4 linked regions of the Stegostoma tigrinum genome follow. The protein of the gene in region 1 purifies or fractionates together with the protein of each later gene. This does not show direct contact. Links are inferred from orthologs where the notes say so. Each region holds a gene or a part of one and is shown in the gene's direction. Other genes may lie near its edges.

Region 1 (8,156 bases):
GATGGTGGTGATTGTGTGGAAGGTCCTGTTGGATGAGTTACTGTGATGTATCTTGTAGATAGCATACACTGCTGCCACTGTGCGTTAGTGGTGAATGGAGTGAACATTGAAGGTGGTAGATTGCCAGTCAAGTGGGACCTGCTTTGTCCTGGATGGTATTGAGCTTTGAGTGTTGTTAAGCTGCACCCATCCATCAAGTGGGGAGCATTCCACCGCACTCCTGCCTTGTGCCTTGCAGATGGTGGACCTGCTTTGGGGAGTCAGGGCATGAGTTACACTTTATAGGTTGCTTAACCTCTTATGCTTTCTGAAAGTCACTAGTTTAAATAGCTAACCTAGTTCAGTTTCTGGTCAAAGGTAACCCTCAGGCTGTTGATAGTAGCATCAGTGATGGTAACATCATTGAATGTCAAGGGGTGATTGTTAGATTACCTTTTTATTGGAGAAGATCTTTCTGTGGCACTATGCCAGGATATTGTCGAGGCCTGTTTCTGAATTTGAAGAGTTGTGACTGCTGCTGGACATTGTGGAAACATCCCCCACTCCTGACCTTCCTTCCGATGGACGGAGGGTCATTGAAGCAGCTGAAGATGGCTGAGCCTATGACACTACCCTGAGGAACTCTGCAGAGATATTCTGGAGCTGAGATGTCTGACCTCTAGCCACAGCCATCTTCCAAGTATGACTTCAACCAGCAAAAAGATTTTCCCCAGTTCCTATTAATTATACTTTTGCTTAGAGCTTCTTGATGTCACATTCAAACAATCAGTGTGGGAGGCAAGCGAGGAAATTGTAGGAGCATTGATGTCAATTTTAAAAGTTTAGATACAGGAGAGGTGCTGGGGATTGGTAAATAACTGCCATGGTAGGGATAGGCCAGTGAGTCTGACATCAGTTGGGAGAAATTTCTGAGGATAGAATTCTATCTCCATTTGGATGGGGAAAGAATTAATCAGGCATATCGTGGCTTTGTCAGAGGGGAAATTGTCAAATTTGATTGATTCAGCTTGTCACCTCTTGAAAAAAATTTCAATGTAGTGCATTGGATATACTCTAAATAGCAGACTGGGCATAAAAGTAAAAGTCCATTGAATCCAGGCCAATTTTAGCAAATTAGATTCAAAATATTGGTTCAGTGACAGGAAACAGAAGATGACGGTAAAAGTCTCTTGTGACTGAAAGCCTGGGTTCCTTGCTGTTCCTCGTCTACTTGTGTGAATCCTAGATTATTCATGTCCTTATCATTGATTGTACGTTTTACCAGTAAGTTTACACTACACTAAAGTTTAATGATGTGGTAAATAGCAAAGAGGAGAGCCTCTGGTTATAGGACAGTAGTCAGATGGGCGGGACAATGGCAAATAGAATTTAATTCTGAAAATTTGAAGGACTTATAAAGTAAAGGAGTATATGATGAATGGTAGGACCCAAGGAATTATGGAATCCGGGGATTCAGCCACAAAACGACATGACCCACTATCACTCGTATCCTTATATACAGATGAGGAAGGACACCACTTTGATTGGGACAACACATCCATCCTAGGACAAGCCAAACAGAGACATGCACGAGAATTCCTAGAAGCATGGCATTCCAACCGGAACTCCATCAACAAACACATTGGCTTGGAGCCAATCTACCACCCTCTGAGAAAAAGAACAGGAAATTACATCACCAACGCAGGAAATGACATCACCAACCCAAGGAAACCTAAACCGATAAATAGAAAGCGGGACATAACACCAGCGCTTCACTGGAGGCTCACTGATGAGGTTACCTAGAATGGTGACAAAACGTCTGAAAACGAACTTTCCAGCTCAGCGAGCAAACTTACATCCAGAATCAGGGGGACCATAAATGATTGGAGGCAACAGGACAAGTGAATAGTGGTTAAAAGGCTTTTGGGATACTTGCCTTTTATTTTTCAAGGCATAGGGTATAAAAATGAGGAAGTTAAGATGGAGCTATATACAACTGTAGGCCATAGCTGGAATAGTGTGTGCAGTTCTGGCTTGATCGTAATGGTTGAATGGGTGATACGAGTGCTAGGAGGTTGCAGATTGTGCTAGAGTACAATGCTGCTGCTGATGGCCTCCATGGATGACCAGTCTTGAGTTGTTAGATCTGTTGAAGTCATTTAGTCTGGTTATAGTGCCATACAACATGATAGAGAGTGAGGGTGGGACTTCATGCCCACAAGAACTGTGCAGTGGTCACTCTTACTGATGCTGTCATGGGCCAGTGCATCTGCAACCAGCAGCTTGGTCAGGATGAGGTCAAGTCTGTTAGTCTGTTTTTCTTTTTTGATTCCCTCACCACCTGCTGCAGGCCCAGTCTAGCAGCTATGTCCTATAGGACCTGACCAGCCCGATCAGGCTTACTGCTGCTGAGCCACTGTTCATGGTGGGCATTGAAATCCCCCACCCAGAGTACATTTTGGGCACTTGCCATACTCAGTGTTTCCTCTAGGTGTTAACCACCAACATGGAGGAGTACTGATTCATTAGCTTAGGGAGAATGATACATGGTAATCGGCAGGAGGTTTCCTTGCCCATGTTTAACCTGATGCCCTGAGACTTCGGTCTGTCCAGAGTCCATGCTGAGCACTTCCAGGGTGACTCCCTTTCAACTATATACCACTGCTTCCCCCTCTCCTGGCAGGACAGGACATATCCAAGGGACAAGACTCTGTTGGGTTCATAAGGAAGCGTTTTACTTTGTTTCTAGTGCCTTGGTTGGTGGAGGCTGGTCTTTCCAGTTATATTCCTTTATTTAGATACACAACAGCGTCTTCCCAGGCCCTTTCAGAGGACAGGTAGGAGTCAGCCACTTTGCTGTGGGTCTGGAGTTGTGTGGGCAAGACCACTTAAGATCCTTCTCTAAAGGACATTCATCAACCAGGTGGGTTTTTACATCAATCAACAATGGTTGCATGGTCACCATTAGGCCAGCTTTTATTTCAAATTTTATTGAATTCATATTTCACCATTCACCCTGGTGGGATTTGAACCCCTGTTCCCCAGTTTAATGGATTAATCCAGTAAATCAGCTGCCACACCACAGCTTCTCATTGGCATATGGATTATACTCAGTGTGTGTCACTCACTCACTCACTCACTCACTCCTTTCAATGAGATCCTGGTTGGTTTGGCCCATGTTATTTAATTCTTAACTAACTTTTTTGTTAAGCATAAGATTTAAAAGTAACAACTGATCCAGCAGCAAGTGACATTTGTGAAAGTGAGTTCCAAACCCCTCCTACCCTTTGTGTGTAGAAGTACTTCCTAATGTCTCTTCTTAATGGTCTATGCCCCTACTTCTCAAATCTTAGTCAATAGAAATAGTTTATCTTTACCTACCCTGTCTTTTTCTGTTAACATAGTGAAGACTTTGATCAGGCCTTACATGGTATAGTCTGTCATCATAATACAACTCCTGAAGTCCAAGATAACAAAGTGTGAAGCTGGATGAACACAGCAGGCCAAGCAGCATCTCAGGAGCAGTCCAGATATCATTCTTTTAACAGTGACTTCCCAGGATGGGACACTGTACAGGAATCAGAAGCATGTGTTCCTACTTCAGACCGGCTGTAATACTCCTTGCGTGGCCCAGCCTTACCTGCTACAGAGTTGAATTCACACCCAGGTTTAATCTCAGTGAACATTCTACTGGGGTGTTATGGGATTGTAACAGATTTAGTACGGCCAACAGCAGCTCAGGGAATTAAACATAAACTTTGCTTTTTTAAAATTACACCAATTTGATTTTTTTAAAAAAATCTGACATGGTTGCTCAGAGTTGTGTGCTGATTCCTAGTATCACAAAGTAGATAACCATTCAGCCCACTCATATAAGAGGTTTTGCTAACCTGAGTGAGATGACCAGAAGTAGATTTCTGATGTTGCCACCACAATGTCAGCGGTTTCCTGATAAATGGGAATCCGGGGTGACCAGAACAAATCCGTTCATCCACATCACCTCCTGACAGTCCCTTTCCTGAATTCATGAGGCAGCTTCACTCCCTCTGCTTGGGGGCGGTTACAGGAGATAATGTCCCCGCTCAGATCCATCACCAAATGAATATTAATGTGAGAAAGTTTTGCCTTAAAGGGTTTCTGTGGACGTTCTCCCCCGGGACAGTCAGGCTCAGGAAGGCTGGAGTGAGACCTGGAGCATTCTGAGGGATTACTTCATCAAACATCTTCCACATCCGCTTTAAACTGGGAATGGTTTGGTGTTTGTTGGAAGAATCATGAAACACGACAGCACTGGGCATTCAGCCCGCCCAGTGTGGGCTAGCTCTGAGGCAGAGTTACCCCCATCTTCCTAATTTCTTGTTTTTGGTTCATATCTTCATTTAATTTTGTTCCTGAAGCCGCTTTGGAAGTTATTAAATCTGTTAAATTGTTTTTTCTAACCATCTTCAACTGTTTCATCAAACACCTCCCCCTGCAATGCAATATTTACAGCATCGGCCTGCGTTTGGTTCTGAAGCCGGTGGAGGGAAGGGCTAAGCCCGGCTCCTGGTGCACACCCCCAGCATTGAGGGCGCGCGGTCTCGGCCCGGAACCTTCGGGCAGCGTCCAAAGCGGCTGCCCCGGACCTTCTCTGGGAGGCACCGTGGTCTGATTGGTTACGGGCTGGCACAGTCCCAGGGATGGGTTTCACGGACGGACCGGAAACGGGGTGCCGCTGGGGGCGCGGAGCCGGAACCGAGAGGAAGCGCGGAGCCCGGGCTGGAGCCGCGGGTGAGTGGGGTTGGGGGGGGGGGACATGGTGGGGGAATGAGGGGCAGCTTGATATGACGATCAACGATCTCCCCCCCATCCTCCGCCCCCCATCCCCCGCCCCCCATCCTCCGCCCCCCCATCGATCCCCCCCATCCTCCTCCCCCCTCCCTCCATCCCCCCATCCCCTATCCCCACCCACCCCCCCCACCCATCCTCCCCCTCCCCTTCACCTTTCTCCATCTCTCCCCCCACCCTCCCATCTACACCCCTCCATCTCCGATCCCCCCATCTCCTCCCCCCACACCCCACACCCCCTCCCCCCACACCCCCACCCTCGCATCTCCTCCCCCCCCCCACACCCCCACCCTCGCATCTCCTCCCCCCCCCCACACCCCCACCCTCGCATCTCCTCCCCCCCCCCACACCCCCACCCTCGCATCTCCTCCCCCCCCCACACCCCCACCCTCGCATCTCCTGCCCCCCCACACCCCCCACCCTCGCATCTCCCACTGCCCACCCATCTCCTCCCCTTCATGTCAGGGTCCTTCTTACTCATTTGATTCATGTTATTTAAGAAACTGCTGGATTAAATTTCCTTCGCGGGATAATGAGAAAGTTATATTTGTTGGATTGCAGTGAAAAATTTGTTTGCATCATCACAAGCACTAAATCTCCATTGAGTGCAAAGGAACATAATGTATTTCTGTTTGTATTAAAAGGTAGTAGTTGGCAATATTTTGAACTATGCATCAGAAAATTATTAGCTGTCAGAAATATACAGTCTTAGTATTTACCAAGTCTTTTATCAGTGTCTATTCTGATTGTTCATCAAGGAGAATAAATTTTAAGCCCAACAGTCCACACCAGTCAGCTTCTCAGTAAGTGTAATATATTTTGAAATGAAGATATTTGAAATGTATCAACTATGACTAAATAACCAAGTTTGGAGATCTGTTTCTGAGGTGCGTTTGTTAAGATCTGACCATTTCACCCAATGGGTGGGCCAATTTTTGTTGGTGGAGTCTCATCTGGATGAATTTCATTTTAAGTTATGAAAAAAGCTTGTGGTACATATGAATGTATGTGAATTTGCTGTAATTTGCTATGATTTGATTTCCCTGTTTTTTTTGTGCTTGTTGTTAGTGGAGTCCACCTGGTGTCCAGTGATGAATCTCCTGGAGACTTTGCCTGTGTCTGACACTGTGCCTTCAATTTGGTTTCAAATATGATTTTTGAGAATGTTTTTTCAGAAATGTTTCTTGTTTGACAGATGAAGTTAATTTTTTATACAATTTGATGGCTTCCATGCAAATCATTGATGATCTATCTATTTATTAAATTTCACAGTGGCCTGTTTGATCTCCCAGTTATGATGTGGGTGAATGATGCTGTGCTGGGATTTGAACTCTGGATCCCAGAAAGTTATCCGGGTCTCTAGATTAACAGTACAGTGATAATACCATTGGGCCATCACATTCCCTTGTGGCCTCGATTCTACTTTACACAAACCTTAACATCCTGATCAAACAAAAATCAAACTCAACCTTGAATAGATTGAATCAGCCAGGCTCCACTCTTTGTGGATGAGAGAATTCAAAAATGTAATGACCCAGTATAACATAACTGGAAAATGCCTTACTTTGAAACTCTGTTCCCACATTTTCCCCCGTAGACTCCCTACTGTGTGGAAGCAGGCCATTCGACCTATCGACTTCACCAACATGCCAAACAACATCCCTCTCAGTCCCACCGCCACCAATACCTTTGTAACCCTGCATTTTCCCATTGGCTAATCCACCTAACCTACATATCTTTTGACTCTGGGAGGAAAATGGAGCACCTGGAGAAAACTCACCCAGACACAGGGAGAACATGCAAACTCCACACAGGCTGTTGGCTGAGGGTGGTGTTAAACCCAAGTCCCTGGTGCTGTGAGGCCACAGTGCTCACCACTGTGCCACTCTCAAGAGGAAATATTGTCTCAGTATTTACCCTGTGAGGCTGCCTCTCTTACGTTGCATCTGGTTAGCATATTTGAAGTCAAGCCTTGCTATTCCTGGAATTGTCATAAATGTTACAGACTTTGAAAGTAAGCAGAATTATCCGATCTACATGACTAATTGACTCAGGTCTGCAGAAAGCACAGGACCAGGTTCCTGTGCTTAACAAGAATTACTTTATTTGGGTTGGATTGAAGTGTTTTTCCCAGGGACGGGGAATTGAAAACTAGAGGGTATAGGTTTAAGGTGAGAGGGAAAAGAGTTAGGAAGGTCCTGAGGGGCAACCTCTTCTCGCAGAGAGTGGTGCGAATATGGAAGACAACATTTGGATAGGTACTTGGATGGGAAGGGTTTAGCGGGATAGGGACCAAATGTGGGCAATTGGGACTGAGTGGGCACCATGGACCAGTTTGGGCAGAAGGGGCTGTTTCCATGCTGTATTACTCCACTACTCTACTCTACTCCATAAGTAATTACTTTGCTTTATTACTTTATTAGGGGATGCAAAGGCATATGGTATTACTGCTAGAGTATTAATCAAGAAACTTGGCAATGATCTGTGAACCAAGGTTTGTATCCTGTCATGGTAGATGGTGGAATTTGAATTGAATTAAAAATCTGGAATTAAGGGTCTAATGATGACCATTAATCCATTCTCGATTGTCAGGAAAAACCCTCTGGTTTGCTAATGCCCTTCGGGAATGGAATGTGCTGTCCTTACCTGGTCTGGCCTACACGTGACTCCAGACCCACAGCAATGTGGTTGACTCTTAACTGCCCTCTGGGCAATTAGGGATGGGCAGTAAATGCTGGCGAGTGATGTCCACATCCTGTGAGTGAATAAAAAACAATTACAAATTAACAGACTGTAGGTGCAGGTAAACAGTTGTGAGCAGTCAGCATGTGACTCTTCTAGTTAAAACTTTAACCCCTTTATAAACTCCCCCTTAGACCCACCTGGGAAAAAACATGGGTTTTAAGGATGCAGGGAAACAGGGAAAGGAATCTGGAGAAGAATGATCTAGAAGCAACATTCTGATCGGCTAAGAATGATTATTGTGCTGATCAGAATGTTGCTTTTGGATCATTCTTCTCCAGATGCTTCCACTGGTTTACAGGAGGACAGGGTGACAGGTTCATACGTGAAAAAGGTCCTGATACATTAATTAAACATCACCACTTGGAGCAATTTCTGAAGGAAAGATAATATGGCTTTCCTCAAGCTTACAGTGGCTTCTTCAGCGTGCACAGAGAAGTCTTGAGTTATTGGAGGTCTGATGGCTTTTCACATCTTGTTCAAAGTCCTAATCTGTTCACCAACCTGAGAACCAATCACATTTGTTGGCAGGCAGAAGGCACTTTGTCATCAGTAAATGGCCACTGATCAACAGACCAATCAGCAATTTGTTGCAGACTATATCTCCA
Region 2 (8,176 bases), on another chromosome or scaffold:
GGAGAGACCACTCTCTCCATGACTCCCTTGTCCGCTCCACACTCCCCTCCAACCCCACCACACCCGACACCTTCCACTGCAACTGCAGGAAGTACTACACTTGCCCGCACACCTCCTCCCTCACCCCTATCCCAGGCCCCAAGACGACTTTCCATATTAAGCAGGTGTTCACCTGCACATCTGCCAATGTGGTATACTGTATCCACTGTACCTGGTGTGGCTTCCTCTACATTCGGGAAACCAAGCCGATGCTTAGGGATCGCTTTTCAGAACAGCTCCGCTCGGTTTGCAATAAACAACTGCACCTCCCAGTCGCGAACCATTTTTACTCCCCCTCCCATTCCTCAGACGACATGTCCATCATGGGCCTCCTGCACTGCCACAATGATGGCACCCGAAGGTTGCAGGAACAGCAACTCATATTCCGCTTGGGAACCCTGCAGCCCAATGGTATCAATGTGGACTTCATAAGATTCAAGATCTCCCCGTCCCCCACTGCATCCCAAAACCAGCCCAGCTTGTCCCCGCCTCCCTAACCTGTTCTTCCTCTCTCCTATTCCTTCCTCCCACCTCAAGCCGCACCTGCATTGCCTACCTACTAATCTCATCCCGCCTCCTTGACCTGTCCATCTTCCCTGGACTGTCCTATCCCCTCCCTACCTCCCCACCTCTTCTCTCCTCTCCACCTATCTTCTTTTCTCTCCATCTTCAGTCTGCCTCCCCCTCTCTCCCTATTTATTCCAGAACCCTCTCCGATGAAGGCTCTAGGCCCAAAATGTCAGCTTTTGTGCTCCTGAGATGCTGCCTGGCCTGCTGTGTTCATCCAGCTTCACACTGGTTATCTTGGATTCTCCAGCATCTGCAGTTCCCATTATCTCTGATTGCAGCTTTATAATACTTTGGTTAAGCCACACTTAGAGTATTGCATTCAATTCTGATTGCTACATTACAGGAAGGATGTGGAGGCTTTGGACAGGGTGCAGAAGAGGTTTACCAGGATCCTGCCTCGATTAAAGGGTCTGAGTTATCAGGAGAGGCTGGAAAAACTTGGGTTGTTTTCTCCGGAGTGGCAGAGGTTGAGGGGAGACTTGATAGCAGTCTATAAATAAGAGATGCATAGATAGTGTTGACAAGCAGAATCTTTTTCCCAGAATTGAAATGTCTAATACAGGGGGCATGCGTTTAAGGTGAGGGGGGAAGTTCAAAGGATACATGAGTGGCACATTTTTTACACAAAGTGTGTTGGAAGTTTGGAATGCATTGCTCGGTGTGGTGGTTGAGGCAGATATGATAGGGGCATTTAAGGGACTTTTAGATAAACAACAAATGGATGGATACAGACAAAAGGTAGACAGAAGGGATTAGTTTAATTTGTTGTCTTATGGGGCACAATATCATAGGCTGAAGGACCTGTTCACGTACTAAATAATTCCATGTTGCAGTCTACATGGACTTCATGAAGTTGGTTGGGTTCAGTTGATGGCATAGTTTGTGATGCACAGGAACGTTAATCATGTAGGTTCAATTCCTGTATTGGTTGAGGTCAACATGAAGATCATTTCTTTTCAAGCTCACCCTTCCCAGAATGTCATGACCTTCAGATTAAACTCACCACCAGTTGTCTCTCTCTAAAGACACAGCAGCCCTATGGGACTATAGTGACTTTGCCTTTACCCATATGGGCTTTAGTAACTTTTGGCAAGGTCTCTCATGTCAGAGCGGTTAACGATCTACAAGCCCATGGGATCCAGGGGAATTTGGCAATTTGAATCCAAAACTGGCTTAGTGGCAGGAAGCAGAGAATACTGGTTGAAGGGTATTTTTGTGACTGGAAACCTTTGTCCAGTAGCATATCACAGGGTCTGGTGCTGGGTCCCTTGCTGTCTACCATGCACATTAATGATCTAGGCCTGAACAAAGAAGGTATGATCAGTATGTTTGTAGATGACATGAAAATTGATGAACGTTGTAAGTAGCAAGGAAGAAAGACTGAGACAACAGAATGATATAGATAGACTGAACTGTGGCAAGTTAAGTTTAATCGAGAAAAGTGTGAGGTGATGCATTTTGGAAAGCAAAGCATGGAGAATGGTAGGATTATAGGACGTACGGAGGATCAGAGTTATCTTGCTGTGGATGTCCATTGATCCTTGAAGGTAACTGGGCAGGTTGATAAGATGGTGAAGAAGGCATATGGAATATTTGCCTTTATTAGCCAAACTAATGAATACAAGAGCAAGGAGGTGTACTGAAACTGTATTTAATATTATTTCAGCAACAGCTGGAGTACTATGTGCAGTTCTGGTCATCATATTATGGGAAGCACAGGTTTGAACCGGTTGTACTGAAGAAGTCATGCCAGACTCAGAATGTTAATTCTCTCGTTTTCTCCACAGATGCTGTCAGAGTTGTTGAGTTTATCCAACATTCTCTCTTTTTTTTTAAGATTTACAGCATACACTGTATCTTGCCTATATTTTCCATGCTGTACCCTGGCCTTGGCCAATTCAGATATAGGGCAGCACGGTGGCTCAGTGGTTAGTACTGCAGCTTCACAGCGCCAGTGATCTGGGTTCGATTCCAGCCTTGGGCGACTGTCTGTGTGGAGTTTGTACATTCTCCCTGTGTCTGCGCGGGTTTCCTCCAGGTGCTCCAGTTTCCTCCCAGTCCAAAGATGTGCAGTCTAGGTGGATCGGCCATGCTAAATTTCCTGTAGTGTTCACGGGTGTGTGGGTTATAGGGGGAAATGGGTCTGGGTGGGATTCTCCAAGGGGCGGTGTGGACTTGTTGGGCCGAAGGGTCTGTTTCCACACTGTAGGGAATCTAATCTAATACAGCAACATCAACATTTTGGTTTGGGACCCTTCATCAAGACTTTATAGGGGTCCTTGTGGTACAGTAGTACTGTCACTACTTCTGGGCTAAAAGGCCTGGGTTCAAGTTGAACCTGCTCCAGATATGTGTAGTAACATATGTGAACAAGTTGTTTGAAAGTATGTGCAGCAGGGATTATCACCAAAATCATTTCCCCAGTCAAAAAGGTACAATACTATGGTCCAAGTGCCTGAAAATAAAATTAGAATGGATGGATAAATTAACATGAACAGCTGAAAATCTGAAACAAAAGCAGAAATTTCAGTTTTGGAAGCATGAGTGGAGAGAAAACAGAACCAATATTTCGGGTCCAGTGACCCTTCTTCACAGCTGATAGTAACTAGGAAATGTGGTATACATGCTGAAGACACAGCGTGGGATGGGGCAGTAAGCAGATAGGTGGAGACAGAGACCAGAGGGAGAGAAACAAATTTAGACAGATAAAGGGATGGATGAAGGAGAAAAATCTGATAATAGGGACCACAAATGGGGGAAATTAATTGACTGTGCTGAAATCCAGCTGTAGTCATGACAGAGGCTGTGGTGTGATTGGTTAAAGAGTTTGGAAGGAGGTGTTCAGGGTTCTAAAATTCTTGAATTTGACTCCTGCAGACTACAGGGTTCCCAAGTGGAAATGACTTGCTGTTCTTCCAGCTTGTGCTGAGACTCGCTGGAACACTGCAGTGAGCCTGAGACAGAAATGTTGACCAGGGAACAGGTGCTGTGTTGAAGTGGCAGGCAACTGGAAGCTTGGTGTCATTTTTACAGACAGTAAAGTGCTTACCCAGTCTGTGTTTCACCTCCCCACAATGTGAGCAGCGAATACAGGCAACTAGATTAGGTAAATTGCATGTAAATCACTACTTCACCTGGAACGTGTGTCTGGAACTTTGGATAGTGAGGAGAGACTAAGTAAACGGGCAAGTGTTGTACCTTCTGTCATTGTATGGGAAGATGTGGGGGTGCAGGAAGGTGTCGGGAATAGAAACTGAACCAAAGTGTCCCAGAGGGAACATTTCCTGTGAAATGCTGACAACAGAGAGGAGACAAATATGTGTCTGGTGGTAGCATCCCACTGGAGGTAGCAGAAATGGTGGCTTACGATCCTTTGGTTGCAGACGCTGGTGGGTGAGGAAAGGAGACCCTTTTAGTGGGAGGAGAGAGTACAGGTGAGGCCAGAAGAGTTGGAAATGAGTTAAACAGGGCTAAGGGCCCTGTTCTCCAACTCTGTTGCGGCTGTTCTGACGATGTCACGTTCTGCAGAGGAACCTCATAATTTTCACATTTTCCCTTAACCAAGAATTCCCAATCACCATGGTTGACAGAGCCCTTAGTCTTGTCCGACACACCTCCCTCCCTTCGTCTTCAGCATTTATGACACCTTTTCCCAGCTTCAAACAGTTCTGAAGAAGGGTCGCTGGACTTGAAATGTTAACTCTGGGAACCATCAATTTAAGTCATCAGTTCAGAAAAGTCTTTATCCAGAAAGTGGTGAGAATGTGGATTTTGGTACCGCGGGAAGAGATTAAAATGAATGATTGGATGTGATGTACGGAAAGCTCGACAAGCACTTGAAGGGGGAAGGATAGCCTTGACTGGAACTGATTGCCCTGTTTTATATATAATCCGAAGGGCTGTAAGAATGGATGTTCGAATAAATTATATACCAACTGTCGACAGGAAATTGGATAAACACTTCAGAAAGTAAAGTCCTAAAGAAAAGGGATTGGATTCGGGTTTGTTCATTGTTTCTCTCTCTACTCACAAGCTACAGCATTTTCTGTTTTCATTCCGGAGCCGAGGACCTTGTGACCTGCTGTCCTCGGAATCTGAGGCTGTGGTCCTCAACCAATCAGAAGGTGGGACCGTGTAATAACAACCAATAGTAATTGATCGGGGGCGTTGGGGCGGGGCCATATCCAATAATACTGCAGCTGCTTTGCCGCGACAGCCAATCACCGGATCGATGAGCCCTGTAAAAACAAGTGTGTGTGAAATCTTGCTTCGCAACCCGCGAGCGGAAGTGGTGCGCGCGCCTGAGGACAGTCGCGCGCTTGCTTTGACCTTTCACCCCCACCCGCCCTCATCCTCAGGGACTGGGCCTAGGTTGCTCTCTCTGTGTGTGAGAGGCTCCCGTCGCTGCAGCGGGCGCCGGGCTCGCACTGAGCTGCAGCAGTCACCGCGTTCCTGGGTGACGCCAAGGCCCAGGCCGCGGTCTGGCGCCGAGGGACCACTCCGGGGTTGGAGCCCGGAGCCCCGGCCTCCCTTTGTCTCGGAGATTGCCTGCCGCTGCTGCCGCCATCATGTGGATATTCTCGGAGTTCATCCCGCCTCCTGAGTGCCCGGTATTCGAGCCGAGCCGGGAAGAGTTCCGGGAGCCGCTCGGGTACATCAACAAGATCCGACCCATCGCTCAGAGGAGCGGCATCTGCAAGATTCGCCCGCCCAAGGTAAATAAAAACCCTGTCTTCCCACCGCGCATCGACAGTAACTCGGGGGGAGGGCTGCGCTCGGCCTGCAACCACTTAAGAGGCCGTCGGCGGGGTAGAAGGACAGATCCCCGTGATGTGGAACCAGGAGGCCGCGATCCAACTTAATGGCGGCCGCCTCCTCTTCACAGACAACAAGGAAAACAACCCCCCCCCCCCCCCCCCCCCCCCGAGGGGTCTAGGCCCGAAACGTCAGCTTTTGTGCTCCTGAGATGCTGCTTGGGCTGCTGTGTTCATCCAGCTTCACACTCTGTTGTCAGGGAATCAAACCCTGATTGCAGCGGGTTCAGGAACGGGTGTAGTCTATCTGGAGAGAAACTGGTGTTGGGCGTCTGCCTAGAGTTTGAGTTCTCAGCCGTGGGTCGAGTCAATTTTTAAACAAAATTAATCAAGTCTACCTCTTCAAGCTGACAGTTTTGCCAACACCCCCGGAGGAAATCTGGCTATTTCTGCTATTCACTTAGGTTTCTCATCAGCACTTTTATTGAGCAGTGATCAGAGTCAGCCACGTTATTGTGGGTCTGGATGATAGTTTCCTTCTCTAAAAGATGTCAGTGAACGAGATGAGTTTATCAGGCAATCTGCAATGGATTTGTGGTCACAATTAGATTTGCAATTCTGGATTTTTTAAATTTCAAATTCCACTTTCTTCTGTGGTGAGATTTAATCAGTCCCCCAGAACCTTGAGGAAATGGTTGGGGGGGGGGGGGTGGTGGGTGGAGAGAGGGGAAGGAGGTCCTGAAATAAATAGGAAGAGAGGTGGAAAGATGACTAGTCTAAAATCACTAGTCAAAATGGTGGGGATGGAGCCAGTAAAGGTGAGTGTAGGTTGGGTGGAGATACCTCAGTCCAGGGAGGACACACCTCAGTCCAGGGAGGACACAGGTCAGAGGGGGTTGGCTGAGGATATGAGGTGGGAGGAAGGACAGTTAGGGAGGCAGGGATAATGTAGGTGGAGGGGAGATTTTGAAGCTTGTGAAGCCCACGTTGATACCATTGGATTGCAGGGTTCCCAAGTGGTCCTTGAGAAATGAGGATGTCTGAGATGATTGGGAGTAGAATGCCTCATCCTGGGAGCAGCTGCTGCAGAGAAGGAATAGGGGATGGCATTTTTGCAGGAAGGTGGGTGGGAGGAGGTGTATCCTAGGTAGCTGTGGGAGTCCACCCCCACCCCGTCTCCTACCTGCTAACCTCATCCTGCTCCCTTGACCTGTCTGTCCTCCTGGGATTGACCCAGTTCCCCTCTAACTCTGCACCTACACTCACTTTTTTACTGGCTCCATTCCCACCACTCTGACCTGTCTGACTCCTCTCCACCTATCTTCTCTTCTATCCACCTCCTCCCCTCCCTAGTTATTTCAGAACCCCCCTCCCCACTTCTGAAGTAGTGTCTAGGCCTGAAACATCAGCTTTCCTGAATTTATGATGCTGCGTGGCCTGCTGTGCTCGTCTAGCACTACACCTTTCTATAGAACAATACAGCACAGAACAGGCCGTTCAGCCCTAAGTGTTGTGCTGACCTGTGAACTAATCCAAGCCCATCCCCTACACTAGCCCATTGTCATCCATATGCTGATCCAAGGACTGTTTAAATGCCCCTAATGTGGCTGAGTTAACTACGTTATCTTGGATTCTGCTGTTCCTACTGTCTCTGAAACAATCCTGTGGAACATTACCTGGGTCTCTGGATTAACAGCCCAATGATATTACTAGTAGGCTACCACCTCCCCAATAATTCCACTTTTTTATCATTAACCCTGATTGTTCTGTTTCTAATGTTTATCCAGTTGTCTTAGAAAGTTATTTCTTTCTGCTACCCCTGAATAAGAACCAGTCCTTTCCAGTTTACCATCATTTGGTGTAAGAAAAAATCTTTCCACTGGTTCTTACGTGGGATTCTTTAAGCCTGGCATCTTGGTTGCTGATACTGCTGCCATTGAAATGGAAATAGTTTAGCCTTTGTTATGCAACCTCAGTTTTATCACCCTAGTTAAATTGTCCCCTAAACTCTGCTTCAAAGGCTACAAAGCTTCTTATTTCTCTACATAAACTGAAGTCCTTCGTGATGTTCCTGGAAAAACCCTTGATTCATTTTATTTAGTCACTGGATGAGGGTGTCACTAATCAGGCAGCACTTATTGCCCAAGGGCAGTTGAGTCAACCACATTGCTGTGGGTCTGGAGTCACATGTTGGCCAGACCTGGAAAGGATGGCATAAGTGAACCTGTTAGTTTTTTCTGACAATTGGCAATGGGTTCATGATCATCATTTAGATTCTTAATTCCAGATATTTTATTGAATTTAAACCTTCCCCCCCCCCTTCCCTGCAGAAGGCTTGATTTGTTGATGATAGGGACCTGCTTTATTTATTTACTTTATCACTTGAAGTCTGCATTATTAACTCAGTGTTTGACATCTGTAACTTTCTTTGGTGATCAGCTGGCTTGTTGAAATGTTGCAGTAGATATGGTGAGGGTATTGTGCTGTAAGACAGGGAGTTCCAGAAATAGATTGGTTGTATTTACAGGACACAAGTATGTGTCTTAGAGACTGACTGGTAGCATTGGACTTGTGCACTGTTCTTTCCTGCTGTTGGAGTTGCAGGATTGAAGGAAGCCTTGGCAAGTTGTCCTGTGATTTGTAACTAAATGTCTTTACTTTTTGCACTTTGCCTCCTGTAAAGCTGAGGGAATGTTTTTATTGTCTTAATTTTTCATCCACTCTATAAAATGGGGTGGGATGTTGGGATTTATCTTTGTAGATCAGAAACTTGAAGCAAGAAGCCATGTAAAACAGACCCAGCTGATTTTTCA
Region 3 (7,754 bases), on another chromosome or scaffold:
GATTGGAATTAGGATATTCCACAGGAATTTGAATCCCCAGCTGCTCAAAATTGAGACCAACAAAATGCATTGCAGGAATGCATTGGGGTAGTCAGGTCCAGAGTTCATAAGTCCTTGGATCAGGGTTGTACCAGCTAATAAGTTGAAATCAGTAATACTTTAGACATAGCAATAGGCTCTGTCATGGTGCTTACTCTAATTGACTCCACTTAGAAATCATGTTCTGTGGCCAGGATGAAGTGATGCCTGGTGATTTGAACCACTGCAGATTGTTGAATACAATAGCCTTTTTCCTGCAACGTGTTGGATATTTTAAAAAATACACAGCTATAGAATGAACTTCAAACTAGTGTTCTATCTACATATTTAAAGATTGCTTCAAAACTGTTGAAGTCTAGAATTCTGTGGGCATGAAATTTGGGAAGCTAATATGTCAGCAGGAAAACCCATCTTGAAACTCAAACAAGAAGCAATTGAATTATCAGCCTCAACTGGAAGCTTCTAAAAATCAGAGCAAATCTTGATGACAGCTCTAGGATAAGACCAGTTACAGTCTCAAAATTAATTTTCAACACTTCATACTTGGAACCAGCAAATTCAACTTAGCATTGGCATTCTTAAAGCCAAAATTTTGGTGGCTGTGCCAGTGAAGTTTCCAGAATTTGCATTAACAGTGTCATATATCAGTTATCCAAATCCAGTTTCTTCAAAACAGAAGAAATAGAAACTGCAGTACCTGAGCAGGTCTGACAGCTTGTGAAGAAAAAGCAAAGTTAACATGTCAGATACAGGCACAAAGTTCTGAAGGCTCAATGAAACTGAAATATTAACTCTGTATCTGTAGAGAAAGCAATGAGGCTTGCTGAGTTTCTCCAGAGGATTTCATTTCATTCAACTAATTCTCATGTTTAATTATCAAACTTTCCACCACATGTAAAAGGCATATTTGCTACACAAGACAGATAAAGAATAGCATGAGGGTGTAGCATTTTGTTATTTTATGGAAGCAGCAAACAAAACCTGCCCTTATTTTGTCTTTCTTTTTGGTTGGTCTACTAATTCCAGTCAGGGAGCCTGAACACCTTTACAATTGGCAAGAACTCTCAAGCAGTCAACTACAAGCACTAATTTCATATTGAGCACAATGTGACACCTGAGCCAAACATACCCCTGAACAAAGCATCTTGCCAAAAATTGAGATAGCTCAAAAATAGAATGGCTTTCCAGAATGTCAGATCTCAATGCAAACGTTACAGTCCTTGCTATTTGAACCCAGCAAATCACTAATTTAGGAGACACCAAGAACTTTTGTACCAATAACTACACTGACGTTTCTACAAAGACATCAACAGTCTCCCACCGTCTACATAAAACAAAGATCACATTCAATAAGCAATCCATTCTGGTTAACAGTACATGACATGAAATGTAAATTAGTCATTCTAATTGTCTCAGAAACAAATATTACATTATGACTGAAAATATCTTGTCTATCTTACAAGCTTCTTTATTTGAAAGAAACACTGATGGCAAACATAATGCACATTTTAATTTCCACTGAAGCCGCAGTCCATCCTCTAATGAATTGAGCAGGAACTCAACAGTGATATCAACCCATCCTCAATATGGACAGGGATACCGCATGGTCTGCCAAACTGAAAAAACAACAAATAAACTAAAACAACCAAAGTTCATCATTCCTAGAGGTCAATAGACAATGACCACCCTGCAAAGCAGTATCCTCAGCTGGTACAGAATCATGACATGCACTGCTATAAGCAAAAAGAATATAACGTACGCATATACGAGAAACAGTACTAAATTTTCCTAAGTTTTTTTGGTGTTCTGAAGGTTTCATGTCTTAGACAAAAAGTCAGGAGCAATATACTGGAAACCTGTAAAATACAGCATTCCATTGTTTACTCTGGTGTTGCTGTAAAGGAAATCAAAGATCATGCGTGCTGATCCAAAGAAAAAGCCCTTGTTATGACTCACTGTCTTTCCCCTTCTCACTAAAATTAGTGATAGACCCTTAACTTTCCAGTTCATACAATAACCAATATTTTGGTCACTGATCAGCCTGGAGCAGATGTTCTTGTATTCAAAAGATCAGATTTCTAACACAAACATGTTTTATATTGAAAAACTACACGGAACGTGTAATGAAGTTGTGTTGCATATTCGTGAATGAGGCAGGAAGCCAGATTTTGTTTGATAAAAAATGATAAGGGCAAAAAGTGCATGGCTCCTACAAGAGACAAAGTGTTTTTCTAAGCTTGGGGATTTACACCGAAAGATTTGTCTAAGCAGCTGAAGGGGGCACTCTTAATTCTGGAATTGAAACGTATCAATTGATTGGAAACCTTAGGCTTGTTTTGATGTATTGACGTACTGACAGCCAGCTGGAATCAGCAAATTAATTTCAAGCAATCACTTAGCAATTAAAAACCAATTGATTTTAAATCTGATGGTTTTGACAACTTCAGACCAATGCTGTTGTGAGATGATTGATAGATCATCCCAGGTATACAAGAAGAGGGCTTTTGAAAAGTCAGTGCAAGAATGAACTGGCATCTGAGAAATAACCGTTGGGCTCTCAAAAGAAATCGCTAAGCTCTCTAACAAAGTACCATCTATCCACTCCTAGCTAAGAGCCCTCTCAGAAAGCTTCACTAAACAAACATCCCTGACAACCAGATCAGTGGAAGTAAGGTGTGAGAGACTTGGGACCAGAAGAAAGCACGGAAACTTCGAGAGACTTAAGTTTTAACTTACTTTCTAATTACTCAGGTTTATATTAGTGGGACTTTCCACTAACTTGCTCGTGATTCTAACTTGCTACTTAAGTGAATATCAGCAATTTTCTTTCATTTACTCTGTCCTTCTCTAACAGTTTTAGATATTGGGCCAGTTTTTATGGGCGTTTCAGGTTTAATTACCAGAAGGGAATCTCACCCCATAACAGATTGGGGACCTTGTATTTCAATTTTAATTATCAGCAGGGCTTGAGCTCCCCTTCATAACAAATGTTCTTAAAGTATGAAATTAGCCAAGGGTTCAAGTGGCTCAAAAAGTCATGCTTGGAAGTCAGTCAACTTGAAAGCAATTTAACTGGATAAAACAATAAAAAGACTGGACAAAGGCCACAAGTTCGAACCCCCATTCCAGAGACATCACACACAAAAATAGACTAACTCACCCTCAGGACTGAGGAAGAGCTCTACCTGTGCAGAGGGAAGGCATCGTTGGACAAAACATTAAGCTGTTAGCTAAATTAAACCAGCAAACAGCTTTAAGAAAATCACGTTGGACAACATCATGGGGCAGCCCACCAGGCGACTTCGAAGTGCCATCCACCCACCAATTTGTCCCATACTAAGCCCACAAAAGGCAGCTGGACCAGCCGATTATGGTCATATTTGACTGTGGGACCTCGCAGTACTATATATTTAATTAGGCGATACGAGTGCCGACATTACAATGACTACCCTTCAGTAGAACATCGTGGCCTATGAAGCGTTTGGAGTTGCCCAGAAGATATGAAAGACACCAGACAATGCCACACAAACAGACTTACTGTGAAACGGCGATGACGCAGCTCGAAAACCCAAACCCACCTCCAACTGCCAGGAGGGCGCCGACTTCATCCGGCTCACAGCGCTCCCACTTCCGCTCTCGATTTCCCCCCCACCAACCTTTTACCATTTACTTCGCGATCGCGAAAAACAAAATAACAAAACTCACGTCGTGATTCCGCCGAAATAGCACTAGCTCCTCCGAAGAACGTTAACGGGGTGTAGCGGGCACCCAATGTCGTGCCGTTGCCTGACGCCTTCCTGGAGTTCGGCCGCTGCCAGCGCGGACTCACCCTAGACAATTCCCCTTTACTTTAGCTCATCAAAAAATACGCCATCCTAATAGCAACGCGCTTGCGCAGTTATCTCTTTTAAAGACGCCCGTTCGGTGCAATGCGCATGCGGTCGTTTTTCTTTTCCCCCCCTCCCCCATTTTAGGCGGGACCTGGTGTCACCACGCCTACCGGGAGTTGTAGTTCTCCGAGCTGGCGTGCCCGATGACGTGGGCGGGGCTGAGGACTACATCAACCAGCATCCCTGGCGCCACAACTGCACCGAGTGCGGAGGGAGGGCCAATGAAGGCGCTAGTGCTGCGGTTGCCGTGTGACGGCGGGCCAATGGGAAGGGTTGTTTGTTGCCGAGTGGGGTCGAATGTTGTATGTGTGTGAGGAGTGTTTTTTTCCTCTCATTCTCTCAGTTCCCCCCCCCCCCCCCCCAACCCCTTCGCTACCTTTCTATCTGTGTCTTTCTCTTTAGACTGGCGATTTAACGGTGGGTTTGTGGCATTCTAGTCAGGGTGACGCTGTCTCTGTCTGCCTGTGTGTGTATAGAGAAGGGGAGGCATTCAGCCTTTCGTCAGCGGCCGCCCCGTCGAGCGTTGCTCGAATGCCGAAGAAGTCAAGCCGGGGCGGACATCGGGCGAGGGGCCCCGGACTGTGAGGCGCACTCTGGTTTGGTTGGCAGGGCTTTCTTCCTTATTTTTTGCCCCCCTCGCCCTTGCAGCTTTCACACAGGACGGGTGAGTGACTGTAAAGGAGAAGGGAGGTTAAGTTAAGCAGCACCACCCCCCCCCCCCCCCAACCCCTCCTGGTTGGATTTTAAACAATGAGGATTCGCTCAGGCTTTTCGATGGGTGAAAGAGGAGCCTCCAACCACCTCGCACTCTTCAGTCTTTTGACCCCCCTCCCTCTCCGCCCCCGCCAAACGGTTTTAGCCAGGGAAGGGGGAGACCTGGTGTCTCGGCAGTTCTGGCTGTTCTCTGCGGGACGTGTCAAGTGTATCTGGGAGATGGAAACCGGCCGGGGAAGTCTAGAAAGGAGGTGAACAGCGCCTGGCTGCTTATTTAAAACATGACCTCGGCGTGTGTACCGGCTGTGTACGTGTGGCCGCTGCGAAGGATCCCCTCTCTCCCGCTTTCTTTTCCCCTTGCCCCCTTCTCCTTCACCTCACCTCCTCCCACCAAGCCCTGTCTCTCGCGGGCAGTGTTTGAGCCTATCGGCACCGATCCGGTGCGGTCCATGTGTAACTTTGGGATCTCTGGCTGAAATGGCGTCATTGACACAACTAGAAAGATGTTGTTTGGAGAGGAGGTGGAGAAACCCACCAGTTCCATCGCCCTGAACCGCTCGTTACAGCCCCTCTTGATCTTGAGCGTTTCAGTTCGATCCGCCGCCATTCATTTACCTTTCCTTTTTGCCGAATGAGGGTGGCATTAATGCACGCAAGCGAGGAGGTTTAGAAAAAAAGGAAATTGTGTCGCCTCTTGCAAAAGATGATATGGTATTGGCACTGCTTCGGCTGCCATTCATGATAAAGGGGAGGGGGCTCTACACTGAAAGGAGACGTCGATCACTTTCAAACGCATTTTTTTTGTGTGTCCCCTTTTCTTCCCTCTTTAGGTGTGTGGAGGTTGACTTTTTTGCTTCGGTCGGCGATTTGACACATTTCGAATCAACATGAAGGTAATAAAACAATAAAATTAAATGTTTTTTATTGCTTAATCGCTCGGTGTTGCAGTTTAATGAAGGCTTTTCGGGTGTCGAGTAAAGTCGCCTTCTTGTTACAGCGGATTTTTTCCCCGCTGCAGATCTGTAGTACATGTAGTTGGAGTATGCTGCATGACAAAGCAACAGCAAATACAAACTGCTTATTTGGTGCGGCAACATACAGCTGGACCAGAAGATATCGTGGACACGGTTTTATTACTTTAACTTCTCACCTCTCTAAACCTCTGCTAATTGTGATGGAATGATTGCAAAGATCGGTGTGTTTCGTGTTCGCAACCTTGTAGTGTCGCAGAGTTTTTAAATACTTGATTTTTTTTTCCCCCTGAAATAAAGGATACGTTTAGTCTAGGTTTTTTTGTAGGGTTTAGAACCGTTAGCGTTTTAGCTGCAGTCTTGTACAGCTTGGTTTCAAACGGCTTCGTAATATTATTGTCTACAGCAAAACGTTTTTTTTGGAAAGGTAAAGCTTCACAATCGATCCAAGTACATGTACGGAACAATTCGAATTTACTCGAATTAACTTATTTTAAGAGCAGTCGAACCGGAGCAGATCCAACGGTTGAGGCTTGAATTCTGAAAACGATTACTTGAGGTTAGTTTCGGTTTAGCTGAGCTTCGCAAAAAATGGCAGTTCTTGGCTATTGTGTCCTGTTAAAATCAGATCGTCAAGTCGGCTGTTGCGTTTGTGTTTACTTCTACTCAGTGCGGTAAAGCGACAAAAACAGTTATTCCTCGTGTCACCTTCCTAAAATTCGAGCTCTCCAGTCAGGCTTATGGAAATTCTGGTCAATACACCAGGCAAGTTGATTGATCCATGATGGTTTGAATTGAATTTACCGCAGAAATTGTCCATGGCTGAAGCAGTGAAGGATAAATAATAGATAATGTTCATACATTTAAAAACAAATGCAGTACGAGAAATTCGATGTTCTGGCGAGGATAAAACTCCCACCGTGGTTTCTCCAGAAGAAGGGGTCCATTGCTCTTTACTGAAACAACTGCAGTGGCTTACAGACCAACCAGAGTGGTGTCTGTAATTGACAGGGGGGTGAGAACGGCTTGAAGGTCAGTGTACTGTACTGAAGGTTTTGTGTTCACCTCCGAATTTCACGTACAAGAAACCAGTTATCTGGCTATCGAGATATTTGTGAGATTTGCTCTGAGTAAATTAGCTGCAAATTTCATACAACAGCAAGTACACTTCACGTGCTTTTGTTGAGACACACTTTGACATGAAACTCTGAAACACCCTTATGGGGCTTTGGGTACTTTCTGACCTCAAATTCAAAACAGTGTATGTTACAAACCTCATGTTGCTAAATACCATGTTTTTTGGGCATGTTGGTGAGTTAACTGATTGTAATAATGCTGCCTTCAACAACAAATAGTGAGTTACAGCCTGTTTATTTCTGTTAATCTCAATACCCTCAGCATGCTGGGGCAAAAAAAGACCAGTAGCAATGTAGTTTTCTCAGCTTGCGCCAGAGTCTCGTGTATCCTTTATTCCTGTGTTGCAGTCATGTACATCACTTTTTAATCTAACAACATCTTGCTTTTGAAATGTACATTCTTGTGTACAACTCCCTGCATGGCCTTGGATTTCCTTATTATTGTGAACTCCAACAGTTCCCCAACCCTCTGGTCACCCTCAATTTTTTATTGAAAAAGCTGTGGCCCCTCTTTGGCTTTACATTCACCTGCTAAGGTCCTGAGCTTTTGGGTTTCCCTTTGATAATCTCTGCACTGTTCTTTTTAACATTATGTTAATAATAACATGTAGTCAAAAAAATGAGATATGTGACTAGAAGTCAGTGTCACATTTTGTTTGGCAGTGGTCCTGGTGAAGCACCTCAGATTGCTTCATGACCCTACATAAATGCAAGCCATTATTGTGTGTGGATGATGTACAAATGAAGCAATACTTGGAAAATGGGAGGAGCAAGATACCCAGTGTTAAAGATTTTTTTTCTTTTGAGTATATAGGATTTGGTGGTTAATGTCAGGTTGTTAGTACATCTTGATGCAGATGTTTGAGAGGGTCTGTCTTCAGGCATACTGTATAATTGCAAATGTTTGTGTTAAATTGGGTTTAAACTCAAATGTCATTTATTTTCTTGTGTCAGGAGATGCATGATTGAGTTGGAAGGAAGTACGATTAGTAATTTGATTGTTT
Region 4 (8,143 bases), on another chromosome or scaffold:
GAAGTCATCTCACTGAAACATAAGATTCTGAAGGTGTTCACAGAGTAGATATTAAAAGCTGTTTTCTCCTGCTTAGGGAATCTCAAGCACTGCATGTGTCTTAGCCTTGGGATAAAGAACTGATCATTTAATGTTGAGATGAGAAATTTCTTCACACTGAATATTGGGGATCTTTAGAATTGTCTATCTGTGGCTGTGGTTGTTCAAACTTAAAGAATACTTGAGGCTGAAATAAATAGAATTTTGGATGCTGAGGAAATTAGGGGTTTGGGAAAGGAGTCAAGACAGATAATCAATCTACTTTTGGATGTTCTTAACTTCTATTGCAATGTACTTTCTCTTCTCAGTCTGTTCCTCCCTCTTACCTTGCTTCATTCCACATTTCCTAACGTGGCAATTTTCCCAATTTAATAAAGAAATGAAAGGGGAGATATAAAAATGGCAAAGAAATTGCAAAACAAAGTATGATGAAACTTGGAAGAAGGGAGGTAAGATGTACATCTGAGTACTTTTGATATGTAATCATAGTTTTATTGGAGGAACCTGCAGCCAATTTGTACACACTGTTCCCACCAAGAGCACTGAGACAATTGCTAGATGTATTGTAGACTATTAATATGAAATCTGAACGTGGAAATGGTTGGAATATAAAACATAAACTAGGTACTAGAAAATACTCCAGCAGGTCAAGCAGCATCTTTGGAGCGATAAACTGAGTTAACAGTTCAGATCAGTAGAAAAGATAGTCAACCTGAAACATTGCTCTGTCATTACGCATTGATGCTTTCTGAATTATGAGTATTACCAACAGTTTGTTTGAGGAACACCAGGTGAATTCCTGATAGCGGATGTGTTCTTTTGAGAGCTGTTTGCATTGTAACAGTTTGAAATTATCTGAGGAAGATTGAGTAGCAGTATCCTGCAACACCATGAAGTGTCAAAACATTTAAAACTCAAATGCCACTAAAGCATAAACTTTATGCAGAACAGATTGTAATTAACACTAAAGCACAACACTGTGGATGATGAAACTGTAGTAGTAAGGAGAGGTGATACACCATTTCAGCAGCTACAGAGAAATGATGAGAGAATAATGCATGACACGGTGACAGAAATAAAAACAAAGTTACTGGAAAAGCTCAGCAGGTCTGGCAGCATCGGTGAAGGAAAAAACAGAGTTAACATTTCAGGTGCGGTGATCCTTCCACAGGACTGTGACAGAAATGTTAGGGTGAAGAAGAAAGCCACTCAATCCATTGTGACTGCAACAGCTCTCTAAGCATTGCTAAATACCTGCCTGTTCCCTGTTACCCTGAATATTGGATGATTATTGTTTCCAATTCAATGTTCTCTTGAATGCCTCCATTGAACCCACATCTACCATGCTTCCATGCAATTCATTCTAGACCAGACCAACTACCTATTGAAAACGTTTTCTCATCTCATATTTGCTGCTTTTGGAAACCAGTTTAAAATCCGTGCCAATGTGAGGCTGGATGAACACAGCAGGCCAAGCAGCATCTCAGGAGCACAAAAGCTGACGTTTCGGGCCTAGACCCTTCATCAGAGACGTCAGCTTTTGTGCTCCTGAGATGCTGCTTGGCCTGCTGTGTTCATCCAGCCTCACATTTTATTATCTTTGAATTCTCCAGCATCTGCAGTCCCCATTATCTCTTAAAATCCGTGCCATCTGGTTCTCAGTCCTGTAATCAACATGGAACAGTTTCTCAGTGGCTATTCTGTCTAGATCCCTCGTGATTTTGAAAACCTCTATCGCTCTCCCCTCAAAATAAACAGTCCAAATAAACCTCGACCCAGTGTTACGTACAAATGAGTACACAAATAGGAATCAGAGGTATTCAGCATGGATACAGGCCCTTCAGCCTATCTCGTCCTTGCTGATCAGGTTTCCTAAATTGAATTAGTCCTATCTGCCAAAGTTTGGCCTATATCCCTCTAAGCCTTTCTTAACCATGTACTTGTCCAAATGTCTTTTAAATGTTGTAATTGTATCTGTCTCTACCATTTCCTCTGGCAGTTCGTTCCATATGTGTACCACCATCTGTGTGGAAACAGTTGTCCTTCTGATCCCTTTTAAATTTGTTTTCCCCCCTCACCTTAAACTTATGCCCTGCAGTTTTCAACTTGCCTACCCTCGGTAAAAGACTTTGGCTGTTCACTTTATTTATTCCCATCATAATTTTATAAACCTCTATAAAGTCACCCCCACAGCCTCCCACTCTTCAGGAAAAGAAATCCCAGCCTTTCCTTGCAACTCTAACCCTTCAGTTTAAACAACATCCTTGTAGATCTTTTCTACACCCTTTTCTGGGACGACCAGAATTATAGTTGTGACATGACGGCCGATCCCTGCGCTCAGTCCTCTGACCAATGAAGGCAAGTGTGCAAAATGCTGCCTTCATCATCATCCTGTTCACCTGTAATGCCACCTTCAAGGAACAATGTATCTGTACCCCTTGGTCTCTCTGTTCAACAACACTGAGCAAAATGCAACAATTCACATTTATCTGCATTAAACTCCTTCTGCGACAACTCAGCCCACTGACCCAGTTGATCAAGGTTCCATTGTACTGTTGGATAATCATCTTTGTTGTCTGCTGTACCACCAATTTTGGTGTCATCTGCAAATTTACTAACTATGCCTGTTGTATTCCCCTCCAAATCATCAATACAAATGACAAACAACAGTGGACCCAGCATCACTGCTTGTGGCACACTGGTCATAGGCCTCCAGTCTGAAAAACACCCTCTACTGCCAAGAAATAATGAGAATTGCTGATACTGGAATCAGAGATAATAGTGTGGAGCTGGAGGAACACAGTAGGCCTGGCAGCATCAAGGGAGCAGGAAAGCTGATGTTTTGAATTTCTGAAGAATAGATTCCCTACAGTGTGGAAACAGGCCCTTCCGCTCAACAAGTCCACACTGCCCCTTGCGACATCCCACCCAGACCTATCCCCCTATAATCCACGCACCCCTGAATACTACAGGCAATTTAGCATGACCAATCCACCTAGCCTGCACATCTGTGGACTGTAGGAGGAAACCGGAGCACCCAGAAGAAACCCACGCAGACACGGGGAGAATGTGCAAACTCCGCACACATAGTTACCTGAAGCTGGAATCAAACCCGGGCCCCTGGTGCTGTGAGGCTGTAGTGCCGACCACTGAGCCACCGTGCTGCCCCTAAGGATCCTAACCCAAAACATCAGCTTTCCTGCTCCTCTGACGCTGCCTGGCCTGCTGTGTTCCTCCAGCTCCACACTGTGTTACCTCTACTGCCAATCTCTGTCTCCTACTCTTAATCCAATTCTGTGTACAATTAGCTAGCTCTCCCTGGATCCCTTGTGCAGCCTGCGCATCTGCCAATGTGGTATACTGCATCCGCTGTACCCGTTATGGCTCCCTCTACATTGGGGAAACCATGTGGAGGTTTGGCAATCGTTTTGCAGAACATCTACGCTTGGCTCACAACAAACAACTGCACCTCCCAGTCGCAAACCATTTCAACTCCCCCTCCCATTCCTTAGACGACACGTCCATCCTGGGCCTCCTGTATTGGCACAATGATGTCACCCGACGGTTGCAGGATCAGCAACTCATATTCTGCTTGGGAACCCTGCAGCCCAATGGTATCAATGTGGACTTCATAAGCTTCAAAATCTCCCCTCCCCGCAACTGCCTAACAAAACCAGCCCAGCTCGTCCCTGCCTCCCTAACCTGTTCTTCCTCTCACCTATCTTTTGCTCCCACTTCAAGCCGCACCCCCATTTCCTACCTACTAAACTCATCGCACCCCCTTGACCTGTCCATCCTCCCTGACCTGACCTAACCCCTCCCCACCTATACTCACTTCTACTGGCTCCATCCCTGTCCCTTTAACTTGTCTGTCTCCTCTCCACCTATCTTCTCCTCTATCCATCTTCGATCCGCCTCCCCCTACCTCCCTATTTATTTTAGAACCCTCTCCCCATCCCCCTTTTCTGATGAAGGGTCTAGGCCCGAAACGTCAGCTTTTGTGCTCCTAAGATGCTGCTTGGCCTGCTGTGTTCATCCAGCTCCACACTTTATTACCACCATTCTATGAGTTGTTTTTATGAGGGACTTCAGATTCCTAGCATAGAGTTGGGTAATTAAAGAAAAATCTGCCCCCCCCCCCTTTCAACATGTTTAGGAGATAAATGTTGGGTCCAACAAGAAAGAGTGAGTTTTGTTGTACCTGGTCCTTGGTAAAGAGTTAGACTCTCCTTGGAAATGAGGTGGATCAAGTGTCAGTAGGAGATCATTTAGGAGATAGTGATCATTGTAACGTTGGAAAAATAACATGTAACAATCCAAAATTCAGGTTTGGAATGCACCGCCTGCCACTGTGGTGGAGGTAGGTTCGAATGAGCTATTCAAGAAGTCACTGGATGATTATTTGGATAGAAATACTTTGCAAAGGTTATGTGCGAAAATCAGGCGGATGGCACTAAGTAAATGATGTTACTTTGAAGAGCCTGTGCGGGTACAATGGGCCAAATGGTCCGCGCGGTAACAATTCTATGATTCATTTCCATGCGAATTTAATCCTCTCGCGGCAAGGGGGCGGCGTTTCCCAGTTCTTCACTGCGTCCCGGTCGCCTCCTCCCTCTCGGGGGCGGGGGGACGCAGTTAGATGGCCCTCCCGCCGCTAGGGGAGCGCCGGCACTCGGTCCTCCCTCCTGTACGAAGGCTCTGGGCGGTGGCGGTGGCGGTCACGGTCACGGTCACTCGGTCCTCCCACCAGTAGGTGGGGCGGTGGCGATCCCGTTGTATCTGGGGAGGGGAGGCCGCGTCTGTGTGGGTTGTTGCTGGAGACGCGGAGAACATGCCGTTGGGTCTGAAGCCGTCCTGCAGTGTGTGCAAGGCCAATTCTTCGGCCATGTGGAGGAAGAGCAGTCAGGGCGAGATCATCTGCAACAACTGCGCTGGCAAAAGCCCCGGACCCGTCTCCGTTTCAGGCTTGACCGCGGGGTCCGGATCAGCTCCGGCTGCTCAGCAGAGCAACGGTGGCGGCAGTGGCGGAGGCGGCAAACAGGTGAGGCTGGGAGAAGGGTCTCTCTGATGAAGGGTCTAGGCCCGAAACGTCAGCTTTTGTGCTCCTGAGATGCTGCTTGGCCTGCTGTGTTCATCCAGCCTCACATTTTATTATCTTGGAATTCTCCAGCATCTGCAGTTCCCATTATCTCTGAGGCTGGGAGAAGCCTGAAGAGAAGGCCGCTCTGAGCTGTTTCAAATTCCTGTCCAGGGTAGAGGATGACCTGGGGAAGAGGCGCCAGCCTGAGACTAGGAGTACTTCTTTCATCAGTTAAATCAAACAGAATCAGAGCTGTAAAGCACGGAAACAGACTCTTCGGTCCAACTCGTAGATGCCGAGCAGATATCCTAAATAAATCTAGTACCACTTGTCCGAATTTATACTATAATCCCTCTCAACCCTCACAGATCCGTCCAGATGCCTTTTAAATGTTGTAATTGTACCAACCTCCATCACTTCCTCTGGCAGCTCGTTCCGTCTTTGCACCACCCTCATTGTGAAAAATTTGCCCCTTAGGTCCTTTTTATATCTTTCCCCTCTCATCTTAAACCAATGCTCTCTAGTTTTGGACTTTCCTACCCTGTGGAGTAAAACCTTAACTTTTCACCCTGTCCATTCCCTCTGTCAAGATGGCGGTTAAATCAGATTAAAGCTTTCATAAACCTAAAAGGGGCACTGGAGGTTCAAAATGTAAGTTAACAAAGCTTCCAGACCTGAAACATCAGCTTCCCTGCTCCTCTGATGCTGCCTAAGCCTGTTGTGTTCATCCAGCTCTACACCTTGTTAGCTCAGATTCTCCAGCATTTGCAGTTCCTACTATCTCAAAGCTCAAATTAAGTTGTCTTTTCAGAAAGTAATAATACATTGGAGCCCCTCCATTTTCCAACAGCCATAGAAGTCCTTGACTGTTTCAGTGGACACCACATGTTCCTTTTCCATGGACTCCAGGGTGTGGGGGTAACTTCAGAAGAGGGAGACTGGGAGTCATATCAGGACTGGGCAGTCACTGTTTTTGCCTTTGCACAGCAGAGTGTGAAGACATATAATATCATGTTTAATGACATGTTAGAGCTTAATCGAACCTGAAATATTTATCTTTTATGAGAAACTGGGGACAGGGATGAAAGATGTGATCCTCAAATGCTGTTGAAATTCCTGCCTTAATGGTCAGCATTAACTGGCTGTTTAGTCAATGTAAAAACAGAAAATGCTTGCAGTACTTTAGTAGACCTGGCAGTATCTGCAGAAGGTAAAACACGATTAATATTTCAGGTTTGTATCTTTTCATCAGACCTATTATTGAGGTTGATTGGCTCTTATCAAACATCCATACATGGATTTCCCAATCTAAACAACTGGATACATTTTTCATCCAGTCCAGCAGGTTTGAGTAGTCTTAGTATTCCACTTTCTGGTTGAATTGATTCAATACCAACTAGAAGTGAAAGTTATAGGAACTTCTATGAGCTTAGCTCATTGAGAGATTTCTGTCCTATGGTAATATGACTTGTCCTGCCCATAGAGTCTGTTCCTGCATTCATTGAGATCTTGGCTGATCTGTTAATCCCAGAAAGGGTCCCAAAACTATTCAGCGTTCCAGCTCTGGTCTGATTAATATCTTGTATAGTTTTAGATTTACTTTCTATGGATGCCCCCATTTAGTTTCCTTTTCAAAGCCATCTCGTATTTTGATATAACAAGGTGTAGGGCTGAATGAACACAGCAGGCCAAGTAGCATCAGAGGAGCAGGCAAACTAACGTTTTGGGCCTAGACCCTTGGCCTGCTGTGTTCATCCAGCTTTATACCTTGTTATCTCAGATTCTGCAGAACCTGTAGTTCCTACTGTCTCTGCATTTTGATATTTTATTTTCTAAGGCCATTATTGAAGTGGTTTCAGCAAAATAAACTTGATCTATGTCGGTGTTTCTTCAGTATTAATAGCATAATGAGACGAATGACGTGCTGTCACTGAATAACTACAGATAAACTCAGACGAAGAGAGATAGTAGGAACTGCCGATGCTGGAGAATCTGAGATGACACGGTGTGAAGCTGGATGAACACAGCAGGCCAAGTAGCATCAGAGGAGTTTCAGGTCGGGACCCTTCTTCTTGGCCGGCTGTGTTCGTCCAGCTTCACACGTGTTATCTCACGCTAAGAGATGCCTTTTTCGCTACGTGACCGCAAGTATTCTTTTTACTTCGAGAATGAATTTATTGTACTGGACTGTGTTCATTATTCTGTTGAAGTTATGTTATTCCATAATGAATTCAGGAGTAAGCAAGATTGTGGAGTTGAGATTAAAATTCAACCCCTGTGATCTTATTGAATAAAGGAGCAAGCTCAAGGAGATAGACAGCATACTGTTCCTTGTTCATAAATAATTTTGGAGTAACTATGAATTTTTTGCCGATACTGTGTTTGTCCTTGTTTATTTTCTCTTCTGTTTTGACAGGCAAAGCAAGAAATTCATAGGCGGTCTGCAAGGTTACGGAACACAAAATATAGGTCCATGCCACCTGCCGAAAAGAAAGTTTCTACAAAAGGAAAGGGGCGTAGACATATATTCAAATTAAAAAACGTAAGTCTATTAAAAAAGTACAACATCGGCATATTTAAGATTAGGTGGGGAAGGGAAGAAAACATTTCTTCAATTGGTAAGACAGTGGTCCTAAGCTTATATTATAGTGTTGTCTATTAAATAATTTTTCAAATTTTCAGTTTTTCAGATGATCTTTCTTGTGTAGCAGACTCATTAATTGTTGATGCCTTATTTTTGTTCTTTAAAGTAAATCTCCATCCTGAATTGCTGATGGGAATCTTTTTTGCATTCTGGTAAGTAATGGATCCCTTATTAAATTTAGAACTTAAAAGGATCAGGATATTTTTGAAGGACTACTTTGTCAATATATTTTTCTATGATTTATTACAATTTTTTTTACTAAAACTTGCTGAAATGATTGCTTTGCAGTGTGTATTTAAATTTTTGACCCTGTAACGAGCCATCCCAGGAACTGTGTTTGGCAGAGAATTCTCAAGTTATGGCCTTTACGTACTCTAGCA

The links.
Region 2: the proteins of sin3b (region 1) and kdm5a purify together in Homo sapiens (affinity purification with mass spectrometry; 4 studies listed by BioGRID and IntAct, with this or other methods). This does not show direct contact. The link is inferred for Stegostoma tigrinum from reciprocal best matches to the Homo sapiens genes SIN3B and KDM5A.
Region 3: the proteins of sin3b (region 1) and arid4b purify together in Homo sapiens (affinity purification with mass spectrometry; 3 studies listed by BioGRID and IntAct, with this or other methods). This does not show direct contact. The link is inferred for Stegostoma tigrinum from reciprocal best matches to the Homo sapiens genes SIN3B and ARID4B.
Region 4: the proteins of sin3b (region 1) and gatad1 purify together in Homo sapiens (affinity purification with mass spectrometry; 5 studies listed by BioGRID and IntAct, with this or other methods). This does not show direct contact. The link is inferred for Stegostoma tigrinum from reciprocal best matches to the Homo sapiens genes SIN3B and GATAD1.

The regions. Positions count from the first base shown.
Region 1 is NC_081383.1:940,425-948,580, reverse strand, and holds the start of sin3b (paired amphipathic helix protein Sin3b), read left to right. Parts: upstream 1-4,651; 5' UTR 4,652-4,749; intron 4,750-8,156.
Region 2 is NC_081371.1:279,754-287,929, reverse strand, and holds the start of kdm5a (lysine-specific demethylase 5A), read left to right. Parts: upstream 1-4,928; 5' UTR 4,929-5,177; coding exon 5,178-5,324; intron 5,325-8,176. UniProt on the Homo sapiens protein: Histone demethylase that specifically demethylates 'Lys-4' of histone H3, thereby playing a central role in histone code. Does not demethylate histone H3 'Lys-9', H3 'Lys-27', H3 'Lys-36', H3 'Lys-79' or H4 'Lys-20'.
Region 3 is NC_081357.1:96,224,931-96,232,684, reverse strand, and holds the start of arid4b (AT-rich interactive domain-containing protein 4B), read left to right. Parts: upstream 1-4,226; 5' UTR 4,227-4,593; intron 4,594-4,770; exon of another isoform or gene 4,771-4,894; intron 4,895-5,473; 5' UTR 5,474-5,530; coding exon 5,531-5,536; intron 5,537-7,754. UniProt on the Homo sapiens protein: Acts as a transcriptional repressor. May function in the assembly and/or enzymatic activity of the Sin3A corepressor complex or in mediating interactions between the complex and other regulatory complexes.
Region 4 is NC_081355.1:108,518,610-108,526,752, reverse strand, and holds the start of gatad1 (GATA zinc finger domain-containing protein 1), read left to right. Parts: upstream 1-4,733; 5' UTR 4,734-4,870; coding exon 4,871-5,080; intron 5,081-7,535; coding exon 7,536-7,661; intron 7,662-8,143. UniProt on the Homo sapiens protein: Component of some chromatin complex recruited to chromatin sites methylated 'Lys-4' of histone H3 (H3K4me), with a preference for trimethylated form (H3K4me3).